Linked DNA regions of Schizosaccharomyces pombe. The protein of the gene in region 1 interacts with the protein of each later gene in a biochemical or structural test. Each region holds a gene or a part of one and is shown in the gene's direction. Other genes may lie near its edges.

Region 1 (4,349 bases):
CATGGATTGTAAAGCCCGAAAGTTTTGATAAATCTAAAAAATATCCTGTAGCAGTGCTTATACACGGGGGACCTCAAGGTTCTTGGACAGATAGTTGGTCAACGCGCTGGAATCCTGCAGTTTTTGCTAATGCTGGTTTTATTGTATTTGCTCTTGATCCTACTGGATCTACAGGTTATGGACAACGTTTTACCGATTCCATTGCTCTTGATTGGGGTGGTAAGCCATATAAAGATATTGAACTTGGTGTTGAGTACATAAAAAATCATCTTTCCTATGCTGATTCTGAAAAAATGGTTGCCTTAGGTGCTTCCTATGGTGGTTACATGATTAATTGGATTCAAGGACACCCTTTAGGTCGTCAATTTCGTGCACTTGTATGTCATGACGGGGTATTTAATACCCTCAATACTTTTTACAATACTGAAGAACTTTATTTTTCTATTCACGATTTTGGGGGTACTCCTTGGGAAAACAGAGTTATCTATGAGCGCTGGAATCCTTCAAATTTTGTGAATTATTGGGCCACTCCTGAACTTGTAATTCATAGCTCAAAGGATTACAGGCTTACCGAAAGTGAAGGAATAGCCGCATTCAATGTTTTGCAGTACAAGGGAATTCCTAGCAGATTACTAGTCTTTGAAGACGAAAACCATTGGGTCATTAAACCTGATAATTCCCTACGTTGGCATAAAGAAGTGCTTTCGTGGATTCTTCACTATACTAAAGATTGTAATGCCAATGAAGATGAAACGTTTTAGATTAATTTTAATAATACAACTACGATTATTTAATAAATTTTTTTTTGTTTCTCTCGATCTTTGTTAATTCTATTACCGCGGATAAAAAGTTGCAACCGCGGTTTATCCGAAGACATATCAAATTTAGATCTTTGCTGTAAGGGAAATCGAGTATTCACCGATCCAGCCATTCCTTAGCCAACATTGCATTAAATTTTTAGAGAGTCGATTTAGACTTGACTACCTTTAATTTACTTAATAATGCCGGAATACGAGATTCAGGTGCCTTCTTATAGAGCTGCTGCATTAACCGCCGAAGAACGTACACGATTACTTGCAAGACCCATTCAGAACACTCAAAAAATTCGTACGATTGTCCAACCGATAATCGAGGATGTTAAATCAAGAGGAGAAGCTTCTCTAATAGATTATGCTTCCAAATTTGAAAAGGTTCAATTGAAGTCGGCTGTCTTAAAGGCTCCGTTTGACGACGACTTAATGAAAATATCCCCAATGATTAAAGAGGATATTGATATTGCTTTTAACAATATTTTTGCTTTCCATTCATCACAGCTGCGTCCTACAATTGCTGTTCAAACCATGCGTGGTGTAGTCTGTCAACGGATGTCTCGTCCTATTAACCGAGTTGGTCTTTATATCCCTGGAGGAACTGCAGTGTTGCCATCTACTGCTTTGATGCTTGGAGTTCCGGCGAAGGTAGCTGGCTGTCCTCATGTAGTGATTTCTACGCCAGTCCGAAAGGATGGTACGGTTGCGCCTGAAATTGTATATATTGCAAATAAAATTGGTGCTGAGGCTATTATTTTGGCAGGCGGGGCGCAAGCAATTGCGGCCATGGCATATGGAATATCCGGTGTTCCTAAAGTTAACAAAATTTTTGGCCCTGGAAATCAATTTGTTACAGCTGCAAAGATGCATGTTCAGAATGATTACGGGGCTTTAGTTGCTATTGATCTTCCTGCTGGTCCCTCAGAAGTTTTGGTAATAGCAGATGAGACCTGTAATCCTGAAAGTGTTGCCTTGGATTTATTGTCTCAAGCAGAGCATGGTTTGGACAGTCAGATCATTTTGCTGACTGTCTCTCTATCTCCCGAAATGTTTGACCGTATTCAAAAAGCAATTAATGATCACGCTTTACGACTTTCTCGTTCGTATATCATCAAACATGCTATCAAGAAGTCGGTTATTGTACAGGTTGACAATGTTGATCAAGCTTTTGAATGGTCTAATTTGTATGGTCCTGAGCACTTGGTCTTGCACTTAAAAAATGCTTCTTCATACATTCCCAAAATAGATAATGCTGGTAGCGTTTTCGTTGGTCCTTGGTCACCTGTAAGTATGGGTGACTATGCGTCTGGTACCAACCATACGCTTCCTACATACGGGTACGCCTCTTCTTATTCTGGCGTTAGTACCGATAGCTTCTTAAAATATATCACTACCCAAGAGCTCACTGAAGAAGGAATCCAGCGGTTGGGCCCTACTGTTATTCGTCTTGCTGAGTTGGAGGGTCTCACTGCGCATGCCGATGCTGTTCGTGTTCGGGGAGTTAGACTTTGAAAGGGGTTTCCTTTTTACGTATACCTAATTAAGGATTCGGCTTAAAATAAAATTTGTGTTTGGTACTAAATTTGACAAAGTATTTTTAGGTTATGATTTATTTTATTTTATTTTATATTTTTCAATTTAATTTTAATAGTATGAATGGGCATCCAATATACTGAGTAATTATCCATTAATTCAACCTGAAGTTAGTTGGTGTCGCGTCGCGTGTCTCGACTTTTTTCTAGTGAAAACGAACATTCCCTTTAACCAAACCTGCAATTAAGCGTTACGGGAATTTTAACGGAAACGATCATTAAATAATGAGTTATTCAGTTTCAGCTGCTCAATTATGGTCTCGCAAGTTGGCAATGCAAGCCGAAGATATGCAACAGCATCAAAAGTCACAGAGCAATCAAATTGCTAGTTGTTTGGCTGAAATGAATACCAAACAAGAGGTAGTTAATCAAACGATCGGTCAACTAGGACGATCTATTAGTGAAGTCCAACAACAAAATTCTCAACTAGGTAAGTGAGATTTAGAATTTCCCAAGTGGTTGGAAGTCTGACTTAATAGTACTACAATCTTTGAATCAAATAAACATGTCTATGCAGCAAGTGGCCTTAGGGATTCAAGATTATGCCAGTCGTATCAATAAGTTGGAACAGACCATGTCAGATATGAATTTGAAATTTGAAGCTTTACAAAAAGAACAGAACAGTAATACAAAAACACTAGCTGATTGCACAAGCCAGATGACTATAATCACTAAAAAGCTAGATGCAGAGCTGAAAAAGCGTTATATGACTACTAAACAAACACGAACAGTACAAAATCAAACTATGCCCAGAAGTAATACAACAACGAAAAAGCGAGTACTGGCTATTGATTTCTTAGCAGATGACGATTATTAAAATACTTAGATCAGCCTCATTTAAAAGCTTTTCTATGATATCAATTAAAATTAAACACCAATCAAACCGTTTTTTCATAGTGAGCGATGCAATATATTCACTTTCAGCACATATTAAACTTGCCTAAACGCTGTTAGTATGCAATGAGCAAAAACTGTTGATAGACTTATGAAAGCCCAAATGATTGAATACTAAAACCCCTTGAGTTTACAAAGATTTCTCAGAATGAATTAGCTTGGTCACCGAGCAGAACTCTCAGACGGCACTTCCTATATAAAATGTTAAGCTTCTTCTTTTGTCATCACAATAGAATTCAAGGAATTTTCAGTTTCTTTCATTTTTGAATACCTACCTAGTTGAAATTTTTTATAGACAGTCCTTTTTAAAAAACTTCAAAGATTTTTACGAAATTATCTATATGCACTAATATAGCTGTTTTCAGCGTTGATGGCACTACGTACGTTTAGCGGTTTGCCAAATTTATAGCTTCGAAACAACGTGACGGCTTTTATCAACTATACGAGAGTCGAGCTTATTAAACATAAGCTTTCGTTAAAAAAAAAAGATAAAAGCATGAATAAAGCTACATATTGTGATTTATGGATTGGTTTACTGGTTTTGCTCAAAATCATAGTAAAAGGGTAGTTTCCTATTGTTGTGTAATCGATAACTTTTTCTAACATTTTGCCCTTCTAAAACAACTTTTCATATTATAAGCTATTCGTTTTACTGTTTAAGTTTCAGTCCAAAAATTAAGACTAATTTAAGAAGAGAAAATTATAGGTGACTATTTGTTTCCTTGTGTTCGTTTGTTGTATAGCGAACTTTATAGATTACAGCAGTTAGAGCTGCGGCAAATTAGTTGACTTGTGTTCTTTGCAACATTAAACGAAAACAGCAGGCAATACACAAATATACGTCCGTAGCATTTATCGTACAAACTTTCTAACGAAGCTAGTATTGCAATTTTTCTCCATATAAAAATTCAATAAAATTAATTAATAAAATTCAAAGTATTGTTTTGTGTTTATTCAATCTTGAAATCATTTAAAAGTTAAGTAAAAACCAAAAATTCCAAACTCCATCTTAATGTGATGCTTCTGACACTCATATTGTTACCGCCCTTTTAAT
Region 2 (5,765 bases), on another chromosome or scaffold:
AGAATGTATAATGCACCGCCTAAAATTATGGGGAACATTGTGACTGCTTTTTCGACATTGGTGGTGGTAGTTAGTAAACGGTACATACCGATGCGTGCGTGAATTGACTGTAACGCCATAGCGTACAAGTAATCCGTTACTAATAATTAGAATGGATTTGGTTAACCACTTGGAAGATCGGTTACTTTTTGCTGTTCCCAAAAGTAAGTGAAGCTTTTAAAGAAGCACAGTCTTGATTCCCTTTACATCTGTCCAAAATCAAGGATCTATAAAATTGATTGGACTTTAGATATTTCGGGAGATTAATGTGTCTTCATGCGTTTTGCCTTATAGTTATTATACATACTGACTCATATGCATAGAGGGTCGTTTGTACGAATCCTGCGTGAATGTCTTAAAGGGATCTGATATTAAGTTTCGTCGAAATCCTCGTTTGGACATTGCCTTAGTACAAAATCTGCCAATCGCTCTGGTTTTCCTTCCTGCTGCCGATATCCCTCGTTTTGTTGGTACAGGTCGTGTCCACCTCGGAATCACTGGTCAAGATCAAATCGCTGAAGCACGTCTTCGTATTGGCGATAAGCTTAAAATAGAAGAGTTGGTTGATCTTCAATTTGGTGGTTGCAAGTTACAAGTCCAGGTACCTGAGTCTGGAGATATCACTAGCGTTGACCAACTCGTTGGACGCCGAATTGTCACATCTTTTGAATACTTGGTTGCCGAGTATTTCGACAAGGTCGAGAAGAAAGCGAAGAGTGAAGGAAAAGTTGACTCTGGTATAAAAACTGAGATTAGCTTTGTTTCTGGTAGTGTCGAAGCCTCATGTGCTTTAGGTATTGCCGATGCTGTCGTCGATCTAGTGGAGTCTGGTGAGACAATGCGTGCATCTGGCTTGAAGCCCATTGAAACTGTCATGTCTACCAGTGCTGTGTTGGTGCGGTCCAGCAATTGTTCTTCTGAACTTGAGCCTTTACTTCAAACCATTATCACTCGTATTCGTGGTTATATCATCGCCCAGCAATATGTTTTGGTTAACTACAACGTTAACCGTGAACATCTTCCTGTTGTTCTTAAGATTACACCTGGCAAGCGTGCTCCAACTATCACTACTTTGGATGAACCTGGATGGGTTGCCGTTAGCAGCATGGTAGTTAAAAAGGAAGTGGCCCAAGTGATGGATAAGCTTTCTCAAAACCATGCTCATGACATCCTTGTATTATCAATTGATAATTCACGTCCTTAGATTTGTCTACTCACGCCTACAATTTAGAATGTTAATTAGAAAAAGCCGCTTTGATCCTCAGCATTCACTCGTGTCTTTTATATGGTTTGTGATAACACCACGTATCTATCTGTCCAACAGTACATTCTTCCTAAATCACTTATTTTCTTTGCCTTATATACTTACTTATTTTTCTGTAAATAACGTTTTCATAGACCTTTTAATTTGCATTCGATCTTCGAACGTTGATGTAAAGAGACCGGTTTATCCTCTAATTTTAATTATATTTAAATATATAAAAGTGTCTTTTTTTCCTTACTAATTCAGTTTTCGTTGCAGTCGTTCGACACTTTAACTGACGATAAATATTAAAGCAGGTCAGCTGCGGTGTGTTCAGTTTCAATATATCAAATGAAGAAGATGTTGTAAATGTATCATTTGGAAAACGAAATTGGTTCTGATTAAGGATTGGTTGTAAAGTTGCAACTTCTTAAGGAGGTGAATTTAACACTTTAAATAATTCTATTTTCGTTTATCTTTCCTGTTTATAGGTTTGAAATTCATAATGTTCGTAACAATTTTTTTTTCATTACCCATTGTCGATAATTATTATTCAAAGTAAAAGAGTTGGATTGACTTATTGCCAAGTTCGCTGTAGAATATCTTTTCTCAAAATATGAACCATAATTACTTTTTTTAAATTCACTACTTGATTTCTTAGTATTCTAAAATTTATTTACTTTTCAGTATGATCAAAGTAACCGTCACTTATCGATGGCCTGAATAAATTGTATGCGTAGTCTTCGTGTACCAACTACCAGCTACGCGTCCAATATACAAGTTTCACGCACAATCAACTGAAACCGTTTTACGTATTTAATCCTATTTATTATTCCAAAAAAAATCTATTAACACTTAAACGTAACTAAAATATGGACATATTTTCTGAGTTTCTCAATTGTTTGAGCTCAGATGGCACTCTCAATGAAAGTAGTATTTATAAAACTTATCAAATTCTTGAATCGTTAAACCCAAAAGATGTTGATACTAAAGAAAACTACATAAAATTATCAAACACGTTTTCTACGCTAGGCTCTGGAGTGGGCTTTCAAGACAATTTATTGATTGAAATGTTTAAAATATTAACTGTTTTGTTTTTTAAGACTAGATCTACTGATTTGGGCGATTTGTTAATTGAAAGTTTTACTTCCCTAGAGATTGAGAAATTAATGAGGGTGAAAAAAACAATAGGATCGATTGTGCTTACTAAAGGAATACAAGAATTGCAAGAAATTGAACTGCCGAAAGTCGGTTTTAATTGCATGACCTACGATGAATCTATTTTTCAGGGGATTTCCTTAGAGAGATTGATTCTCCAATTGATGTCAATTTTCATTGCAAAATGTGAAGAAAATAAGTTATGGCTTGTTAATAACAGAAAAGATTTAGATCTTCGAGTAATTGGTCAACGCTTGCTTCACAGGGATTTCGCATGTCGCTTCTTAAGCGGTCTATTTATTTCTCGCTTCTCTGTTTCTGGAGATACTGATGAGAGTAAACATCAAAATGGCATTCGCCTTCAACTATTTATTGATTTTTCTAAATTTGAAACTCGTTTGACTATGCAAATTTTGAAGGCGGACCGCATTTTTTCCACCTGTGTTGCCAATACTGTCCATGCTTATGAAGGTTTATTTTCGTCGGGCTCAAATATTGATTCAACAATAGCTACTCTGGTTTTAGAGCCCCGAGATTTAATCGTTTATAGAAAAGGATTTGCTCTGTTACAAATTCCTTGGACATCTGTCACGACTATCGATAAGATTAAAAAAGTCAAATCTCTAAAAATTATTACTGAAGTATCTTCCCTAGATGAATTTGTTTTCCAATGTAAGGATGGCGATAAATTTGACGAGCTTTTTTCGACTTCTGAAGAAATCATGAACAAACTGTTACCAGCTATAATTGTTTCTCCTAAATTGACATTAAGGAACCGTTCAATAATTCAAATAAAAGAAGGAGAATCAAAGCTTCCTAACACTTCCAAGCAAGCATCCCAGAATTTACCGCATTTAGATGATGAACTGGCGTACCAAAGATTTGAGGATCAGGTCATTGACAAGAGTGTGTGCGACGATGAGTGCACTAACACTGAAAATACTCCAAGTTCAAACATTCCTGCAGATGTGAAAGATTCTTTATCAGCCGATGACTATGCTTATGATACAAAACGCAAGACGCAAATTGAGGATCTCGAAGAAGACCAGAATAAGAGTAAGATAGCTAGCAAAGACGGAACCAATCTAAAAGAAATCAATTCTGTTCCTGAATTTTCTGATGAGAATGTAATCAATCAAACGGGGCCCGCCAAAAAGACACCGGTTCAAAGAAGAAAAGATGGAAAGTTTGCAAAATCGACAAAAAGAAAAAAACAAAAATCTTTAAAACCTGATACTGAAAATCAAGAATCTTCGGTGAAAAATAAAAAGGCGAAATCCAATGTTAATTTGCAATACAGTCCGAAAACCCCCATTTGCAAAATTAACGACGAAACCTTGAAGCCTCCTACGATAGCAAACATTGCAGGTCACAAACAAATGAACCATTTAACTTCGGAGAATATTGAGACTCCAGTTCCTGTACCGAATGGAAATTGGTATAATGGTGTAAAGCATGAAACAGCTACAGATATCTTTACTACTTGCCATGATGGAAATAATAGTCTTAAAAGCTCCGTATGGAAAGAACTTCTTAAAGAGAAACATTGGAAACAGGAATCTAAGCCTCAACTTACTGGAAATAGTCGTCAAATTGATCTCTCTACCTTTGTTAAACAAGCAAATACTCCAAATATTACCAGTCTACTAGATGGTACCTGCTCAAGCCCGCCTAATAATGAATGTTTTAATGACAAGGAGCCAGACTCAAGTAGCAGTACGCTGATATCAGATCGCCAGGAACTTGAGTACAGGAATCCCAATGCGGAAACTGTCAAGCTCGAGGAAATACCCTACAACAAATTTTTTAAGACAGTTGAGAAGAACGAAGCATACAATCCATCTAGCAAATCTGCTACTATTGATGGTTTACAACGTTATACTTCTATGATAGGAAATCAAATATACGAGGGCATTTTACAGAACGAGAAGGAATTGAGGTCAAAGCTTGAGGCTTACCACATAAATTGTAACAAAGTGATTAAGGAATTTTCGAAAAGACAAACTGCTAGATATAAGATCATCGAAAAGGAATTGGCGCAAATTGAAGTTAATCTGGTCAGCCAAATTGACAGTTTGATGTTTAAGTAGCTTGAACCTATAGTATCAAATTTATTGATATTGGCTTATATTGACATATTACTTTAAAACAATTCACATTGGAAGCGTTATATTTTATTTACGTAAAGCAAGAAACACGAGAAAAATAGGTATATTATCAAATTCATTACCTAGTAAACGTAAAACTGATGAACTTGAACGTAGCAGTTGGATGCATACGCAGAAAAAAAGAAAATTAAAAGATTTGCTCCAAAAGAAAACATAAGTTTACCTGTAAAGAAAACCTTTATATGTTAAATAAATGATTATCGAAGAAATAAACATATCAATGCAGAAGACAGGGGTATAAAATAACAGGGAAAGAAAACCACTTTTAAAAGTTAGAAGTAGGACGTATAAGTCCCTTCAACCAGTTATTCTCCATCTCCAGTTCACGAACACGAGTTTCTAAAATGGCGACTTTCTCAGTCAACTCTTTAGCAGTGCGTTCCAACTGTTGTTCTTTAAGCTTCTTCTTGATGCGAAAACGAGCGCTAGCAGCGGTATTTCGACGACGTTTATCTTCCTCAGCAGCAGTACGGATGGCAGAAGTAGCTTTGGTGCGTTTACTGTTAGCATTGGGAGACTGAGCACCCTTATAAGAAGAAAGACTAGGGGAAGATACAGATGCTAAATCAGGACTGGCAAAAGTGGAAAGGGGATTGGTAAATGCGTTTTGATCAGCAAATGAAGAAACGGGAGCTTGTAAAGGGGTATTGTTAATAGAGCTGCTAGCTTCAGAAGTCGGGATAGCAGTCTGTCCAACCAAAACTTGATGTTGTCTTGCAGATTGATCAGGTAGTAACTTGGAGGAAGCTGAACCTTGGAGAATTGAGGAAGAAGAAACATTATCCTTGGAGGCTGAAGCAACAGAAGACTTTTGCTCAAAGAGCTCTCGTTGAGACGAAGTTTTTTCTTGAGTTTCCTTTGAATGATCAGGTAGGGTTAGGAGTTTCTGCAAGTCGAGATAAGCAAGATCAATTGAAGCAGGATTAGCAGAAGAAAAATTTCCAGTTGCATTCAAAGGGGCAGAAAAGGTATTGCTAACTTCTTCCTCTTTAACTTGCTGCAAAGTCGAAATTTTTTCGGGATTCTGTTGCTGCACGTTCTTTTCCTGCTTATTGGAATTGGAAGAACCTGAAGGTTGAGAAACAAATCCATAATAGCCTTCTGAAAGCATACTAGAAGGCTCTAAATCTAAAAAGTATGGATTTGTGAATACATTT
Region 3 (5,498 bases), on another chromosome or scaffold:
GATTTTTGCAGAAACAAGTATTCTGTAGGTTAGATAGGTTAGATATCACAAATTCAATAAATGTGGACTTACCATCTTTAGTAGATAGTTCGTTGTTAGAAACCGGAATAAAATAACCGGTATAATGTTTATTTATTTGAGTTGACATATCGCGCAAAGAATCAAGATTTTTAAACGAATTTAAGTTGTCGATAAAAATCGAATTAAGACTAGGTATAAAATTACCGGAATAGTTGGAACATTCAACCAAAACCGATTTGACAGCATTCAAACGATCAAGCTCAGCTTGTTCTAAATCTTTAAAAACCATAAACTGGAAAGGGTTAGCAAATGAAAGAAGAATAATGCTCAATACCAAATATAACTCTAATTCATGACGGCATTGCTCTAAATTGTCATAAGCAAGGTTGTACTTTTGTAAAACAGGATCATCATTAGTAGCTGTTATAGGATCATTTACTTGAAAATATGGATCGACCTCAAGAATACTCAAATGATAACTTTTCAATAGTTGCTGTGATTTTGTAGTAAATTGAGCATCTATCTCCGGATCATTTTCAAAAACTCGACGAATGCCAAGTAACCTTATTAAGCCATGTTGTATCAGCTGGTTTCCAGCTTTAACGACATAAGAATCTTTTTCCAAACCAAATGTTGTCTTGATGGCTTCAAATAGAAGAGAGCAGTTTGTAACAAGTTCGTAGTCACCGAGATGAGAATAAGATTTTCTTTTAACAGTAGACGCCTTCATAAGCTTTAATAATACATTGGCAAATTCCTCAGCGGTATATGGATGATCAACTATGTTTATCAACCCATCAAACTTATTAACGTTAGAAGGATTAATATCCAGCTGAGACAGAGCAGAAGCAAGAGAATCGGATTTATTAGATTTTCGAGAGGTAGGAATTGGCTTTCGGTCGGTCAAATTAGACTTCTTGCTGTTTACATGAGAGAAACGTGAATTGTAGTTGTTTATTTTGACAATTGCGGCTGAAACGATTTCATCTACCCTTCTAGAATATTTCTTTGACCAATTTGCAAAAGGATTTATTACCAATATATTTAATTGCTCCCCAAGCTTCTTGTGCAACGACGCTTCCTATTGTAAATATTAGCGATAATGACCATAAGAGTAACGATTGAAAGTATACCATTAAATAGCTTTCATAAAGCTGGTGTATGGCTGCATCAGAAGGAAGATCATTGCTTTCTTCATTTAAAGGATGGTGCTTATTGAATTTTGAAAACGATTTGAACAGCAAGTCAGAACAAGATGAAGCTGACTTTGCTCTAATATGTAACAACTGTAATACTAAACGTATTGTTAAATCATTAGTTATTACAAGAAGAAGAATTCATGTGCATACGCTTTTCGTTTTGTTCAACACCTTCGTTGATTAAACGTTGGGCACGATTTATTCCCGTAATATAATCCCTTGACCAGAACGAATTTGAAAAGCCGTCCCACATATCTTTTTGATAAAAATGTCTGATGTACAATACACTTAAGTATATCTATGTACTTCTGTTGAGTGCCAGCTAATTAATAGATTAAAGGTAGTTACAAAAGAGTTCTCTTTTAATCTAAAAACGTTAGTTTAAAAAATATTACAGATAAATCAGTAAATTGACATTGAGGATTAGAATTCTCCTACAACTCCAAATAATCCAAGAAGGACTGAAGGAAAAACTTCTTCAAAAAATCACTTACAAAGAAAGCGGTATTAAATATTATTCACAGTGATTAATATGTAATTTTGGTTTTGTAAAGAGTCATGTAGATGTTGGTATTTAAGTGGGTTCGTCGCGACGAGATGTAAACAAACCAAATTACATAGTGCAGTACAAAGCATCGTAAACTGTAATGAATGGCACAAATACTGAAGACAATAGTAAACAAATACTCATACAGACAATGTACACGTACGATTCGTCGGGAGAGACACTGAAAATAGCAATAGCATGGAAGATAATTTTAAAAAAACCGAAAGGAAAAAATATCAAAGACTACATAGAAGCATTGCGGAAAGGAATTGAGGATCAGGAACATTGCGAAAAATACGCGTCAACATTATTGGAACCGCGCCCAAAGACGAAAAAAGATGTTGTTTTGAAAAATAGTAATGTTACAGAGTGTGTGGCTTTAAAAGCCAAACCGTTCTCTAAAAAAATCGAGGATATGGGTAAGTACTTGCACGATGCTTATTAAATCCATCAATACTAGGCCGGTATATCTTCTTATATCTAAAGCATTAGTTATATTAAAGAAAGCCTTTTTGATCTAAAATAGTATGAATTTTCTTTCGTTAACAATCCAATCTAGATATCTTTTTGCTGACCAATGTTCACGAGAATCTTCAGGAAAAGAGGCAAACATCCGGAAGCCTTGCGCATCTGGATATTGAGTACACGTTTAATGGACTTTTTCGATTCTTAAAATGCACTGCTGACATAAAGTTGAAGCAAACAAAAGTATACGAGGGTGCGGATTTTTTGCGCATTAAAACTTTATTCGAAGAAATTTTTATGTTTCTTAAAAGAGATTGTAAGTCGCCGTTGGTTTTAACAAGACTAGTTGAATTGGGAGATTATGTACTGGATCTCATTATAATCACGCAGTCGATTATGCAAAACAATGCCAACAATGGAACTGGAGTGATTTCCAGAGCGAAATTTTTGGAATTTTACGTATTTTTGGAGCAACTGATATTTAACAAGCTCTCATTCGCTTCCGTAGAGCAATTGGAAAAATTACTAGATCAAATTGTTAAACGGATGAAAATATGCTTCACATATTGCAAAAACGATAACCCATCTATCCGGTTGTTATATAGTGAATGTTTTTTTTCGTACGCTGAGATATACTTCCCTTGTCTACACTCCTTCGATGCTCAGCTTTCATCTGCCGCAAGCAAATGTGTCCAAATCTTAAGAGACATAATCACAAATGAAGAATTACAAACTGATAAACAAGAGTTGTCTAAGAGTGCCTACTCTGCTCCATCCATCCTTTTGATTGGCCTCAAAGATATGCTATTTCCCGAAGACATTTCCTAATAGTAATATATTGAGGGCCACTATTTAACACACATTCATTTCTTGCCTTTCCAATTTGACTCCTTTTGTTATCCTAAAATATTCACAACATTTGGTGGAATTTTTCTGGAAATTCAATGTACAAAGAACGTTGTGGTGAAAGTGTTGATCATCATATCCATTCGATGAACTTTGATATTATGTTCCCTTTTAAATCTTGGGCATAAGGGAAAGGTTTTCTGCTTTTAAAAATTGATGGATAAAAGAAACAAAGGAACAAAAAAAGCGAATATATAGTGGCCAATTTGTATTATTTTCAAGTACAGAAGTGCTTTCCAAATTCGTTTACAAGAAACTTTGGAATTTCAATCAACAAGCTATGTTTCTTCTTTTCCAATAAAGCGCATTTAATACAACGCGTTGACAACAAGATTATTGATCAAGTAAAGGAAATTTATCGCACAAGCCTTCATTCATAATCCGCGATTTGATCTATACGCATTGCTATCCTATTCCTTACGAGGGATAAATCGAAGGAAGTGATAATGGATAAAACCACACAAGCTCCAGAGAATTGAAGGTTTTTCAGCTATAGACCTAACTAGAAGAACAGGGATACTTACAGGGCTTATTAATATTCAACATTAAAGAGCGTCTTATCGATTCCTTGTCAACTTGATATCACCAACAGTTCTATGCACTACTAACTTTATGTCACACTGCGTTACATGTCATTATAAATAATTCCTTTAGTATTTCTTATATTCTCCACTAATTGGAGTCATCGAGAGATGACCGGACTTTTCCTACAATAATTTTTACTTTTATTTATGTTTTAAAATACTCAAAATAAGCATGATTGAGCTTTTTTTGCTTACTCTCAACATGTGTCAGTAGGAATCCGTACATGATCTGATATGATAATTTTACTGGCATCAGAAACTCTATAACCACACACAGCTTACTTGAACGGGCCTCATTTGATGGAATCATAGAAGCAATCACAACTAAAAACGATAATGATTGAAAGCGTTTGAATGCTACGTTGGCGGAACACAATCACACATACTGTCAGCCTTCAATAATTAAATAACGCAACCCAACAAAGATGCCTAAGGTAGAGGGACTAATGCGAGAGGAAGCCATCTACGCAGTATGTAAAATATTTTAAGGAGTTTGTATAGTTGCTAATTTAACAACGATATACATAATAACGAAATATGTTAGTGATTTTTATATTTGTATAAAATAATACCCTGGATAATTTTGTATTTATTAACTATAGTACTGCTACACCGTAATATTATATTAATTAGTATATCCATTGGAACTAAATTGAGTAACTAAGAATTAGTCCGACCTAATAAACGCTAATAGTCAATAAATTGGCTTAGAATTGTCTGAGATAATAAACTCTTTTAATATTTCAAACGATGAAAAGTTTCGATTAAGAACTCAAGAATGAACAGTAATGATTGATTTAACGTAATATAGCGCAGTTAAACGTTTGCCGACATCTTAGGTCAATGTATTTTCTAATACTAATAGTGCTTGACTCACTGTCTTTTTGAGCTTCTCTATAGATTAAAGAGGTTTTAACCTTATCATGCCAGTCTTTACCAAGGAAGCTTTGGAACGGCTTCCTATCCAATTAGGAAACTTTTTTAAAAAGTTTCCGCCTGAAAATCCAAATGCATGGACGACAAATCCAAATCGTCAAAATCCGTTTCTCGCAACTCGAAATCCTCAGAATGGCCTTGTAATCAACCCTTACTATTCCAATAGAAGGCAAGCTGAAATATATAAAGAGGCCAGGCTTCAGAATCTGGATAATTTACTCCCCCAACAAATGTCATGGCAGAAAGATTCTACACGCCATATTTTGAAAGGTCTTCTGAATCCTAAAGGAAAAATTAGTGAACGAAAGAGGGATGAGATTTTGGAAAATAGGCGTTTAAAACTTTCGGAATCATTGAAGAAAACTTCTAAATTTAAAAATGAGCGCGTATGTAAACTGTTGTACTTTCATGATTTTCTTATTTCTATCTACTGATTTTGATTGTGAAAAATTTACTATTATTATTTTTTTAATTGTCTTTATTAACACTCTTTTTAGCAAAAAGCTAGCAAAATAGCGAAACCTTCTCCTTTCTAAATTCTTCTTCTGCAAAGTGGGTTTCACGTAATACTGTTAATACCTTTTGATTCCTGTTTGTTTATGACTTCCTTAAATTTTTTTAAAGATTCATTTAAATTTACTGCTATATTACCTCAATTATGTGTTTACTAAAAGTCTTTTATTGTGCAGCATGATAAAAAGACTAATATACTAGTCTATACATTTTTGTAATCTTTACTAATAATATGATTCTACTTTAATAGTTAAATTACATTTAAATATTAGGTTTTGAATCTGCAGACTTAGGATTTTAGAATGTGATTTATTCGTAACTTTTCAT

The links.
Region 2: the proteins of rec15 (region 1) and rec10 form a complex in vitro, tested with the Schizosaccharomyces pombe proteins (one study listed by BioGRID).
Region 3: the proteins of rec15 (region 1) and rec24 form a complex in vitro, tested with the Schizosaccharomyces pombe proteins (one study listed by BioGRID).

What each region holds. Positions count from the first base shown.
Region 1 is NC_003423.3:2,158,916-2,163,264, forward strand, and holds rec15 (meiotic recombination protein Rec15), read left to right. Parts: upstream 1-2,571; 5' UTR 2,572-2,626; coding exon 2,627-2,831; exon of another isoform or gene 2,832-2,880; coding exon 2,881-3,218; downstream 3,219-4,349. Other genes in the region: ppp16 (acylpeptide hydrolase), read left to right, coding at 1-761; histidinol dehydrogenase His2, read left to right, coding at 1,002-2,321; SPOM_SPBC1711.15C (uncharacterized protein), read right to left, coding at 3,198-3,296. UniProt on the Schizosaccharomyces pombe protein: Required during the early stages of meiosis for meiotic recombination.
Region 2 is NC_003424.3:4,300,167-4,305,931, reverse strand, and holds rec10 (meiotic recombination protein Rec10), read left to right. Parts: upstream 1-2,038; 5' UTR 2,039-2,154; coding exon 2,155-4,530; 3' UTR 4,531-4,565; downstream 4,566-5,765. Other genes in the region: his1 (ATP phosphoribosyltransferase), read left to right, coding at 152-203, 363-1,243; DNA-binding transcription factor Zip1, read right to left, coding at 4,874-5,765. UniProt on the Schizosaccharomyces pombe protein: Organizes linear element components on chromosomes and is thus required for meiotic DNA recombination.
Region 3 is NC_003424.3:4,993,592-4,999,089, reverse strand, and holds rec24 (meiotic recombination protein Rec24), read left to right. Parts: upstream 1-1,909; 5' UTR 1,910-1,918; coding exon 1,919-2,186; intron 2,187-2,326; coding exon 2,327-3,060; 3' UTR 3,061-4,298; downstream 4,299-5,498. Other genes in the region: rga9 (RhoGAP family GTPase-activator protein), read right to left, coding at 1-22, 73-313, 356-1,102, 1,155-1,315, 1,371-1,473; mrpl25 (mitochondrial 54S ribosomal protein mL59), read left to right, coding at 4,646-5,044, 5,156-5,194. UniProt on the Schizosaccharomyces pombe protein: Required for correct meiotic chromosome segregation and recombination. Accessory protein required for Rec12 activity, which is involved in formation of the double-strand breaks (DSBs) that initiate meiotic recombination.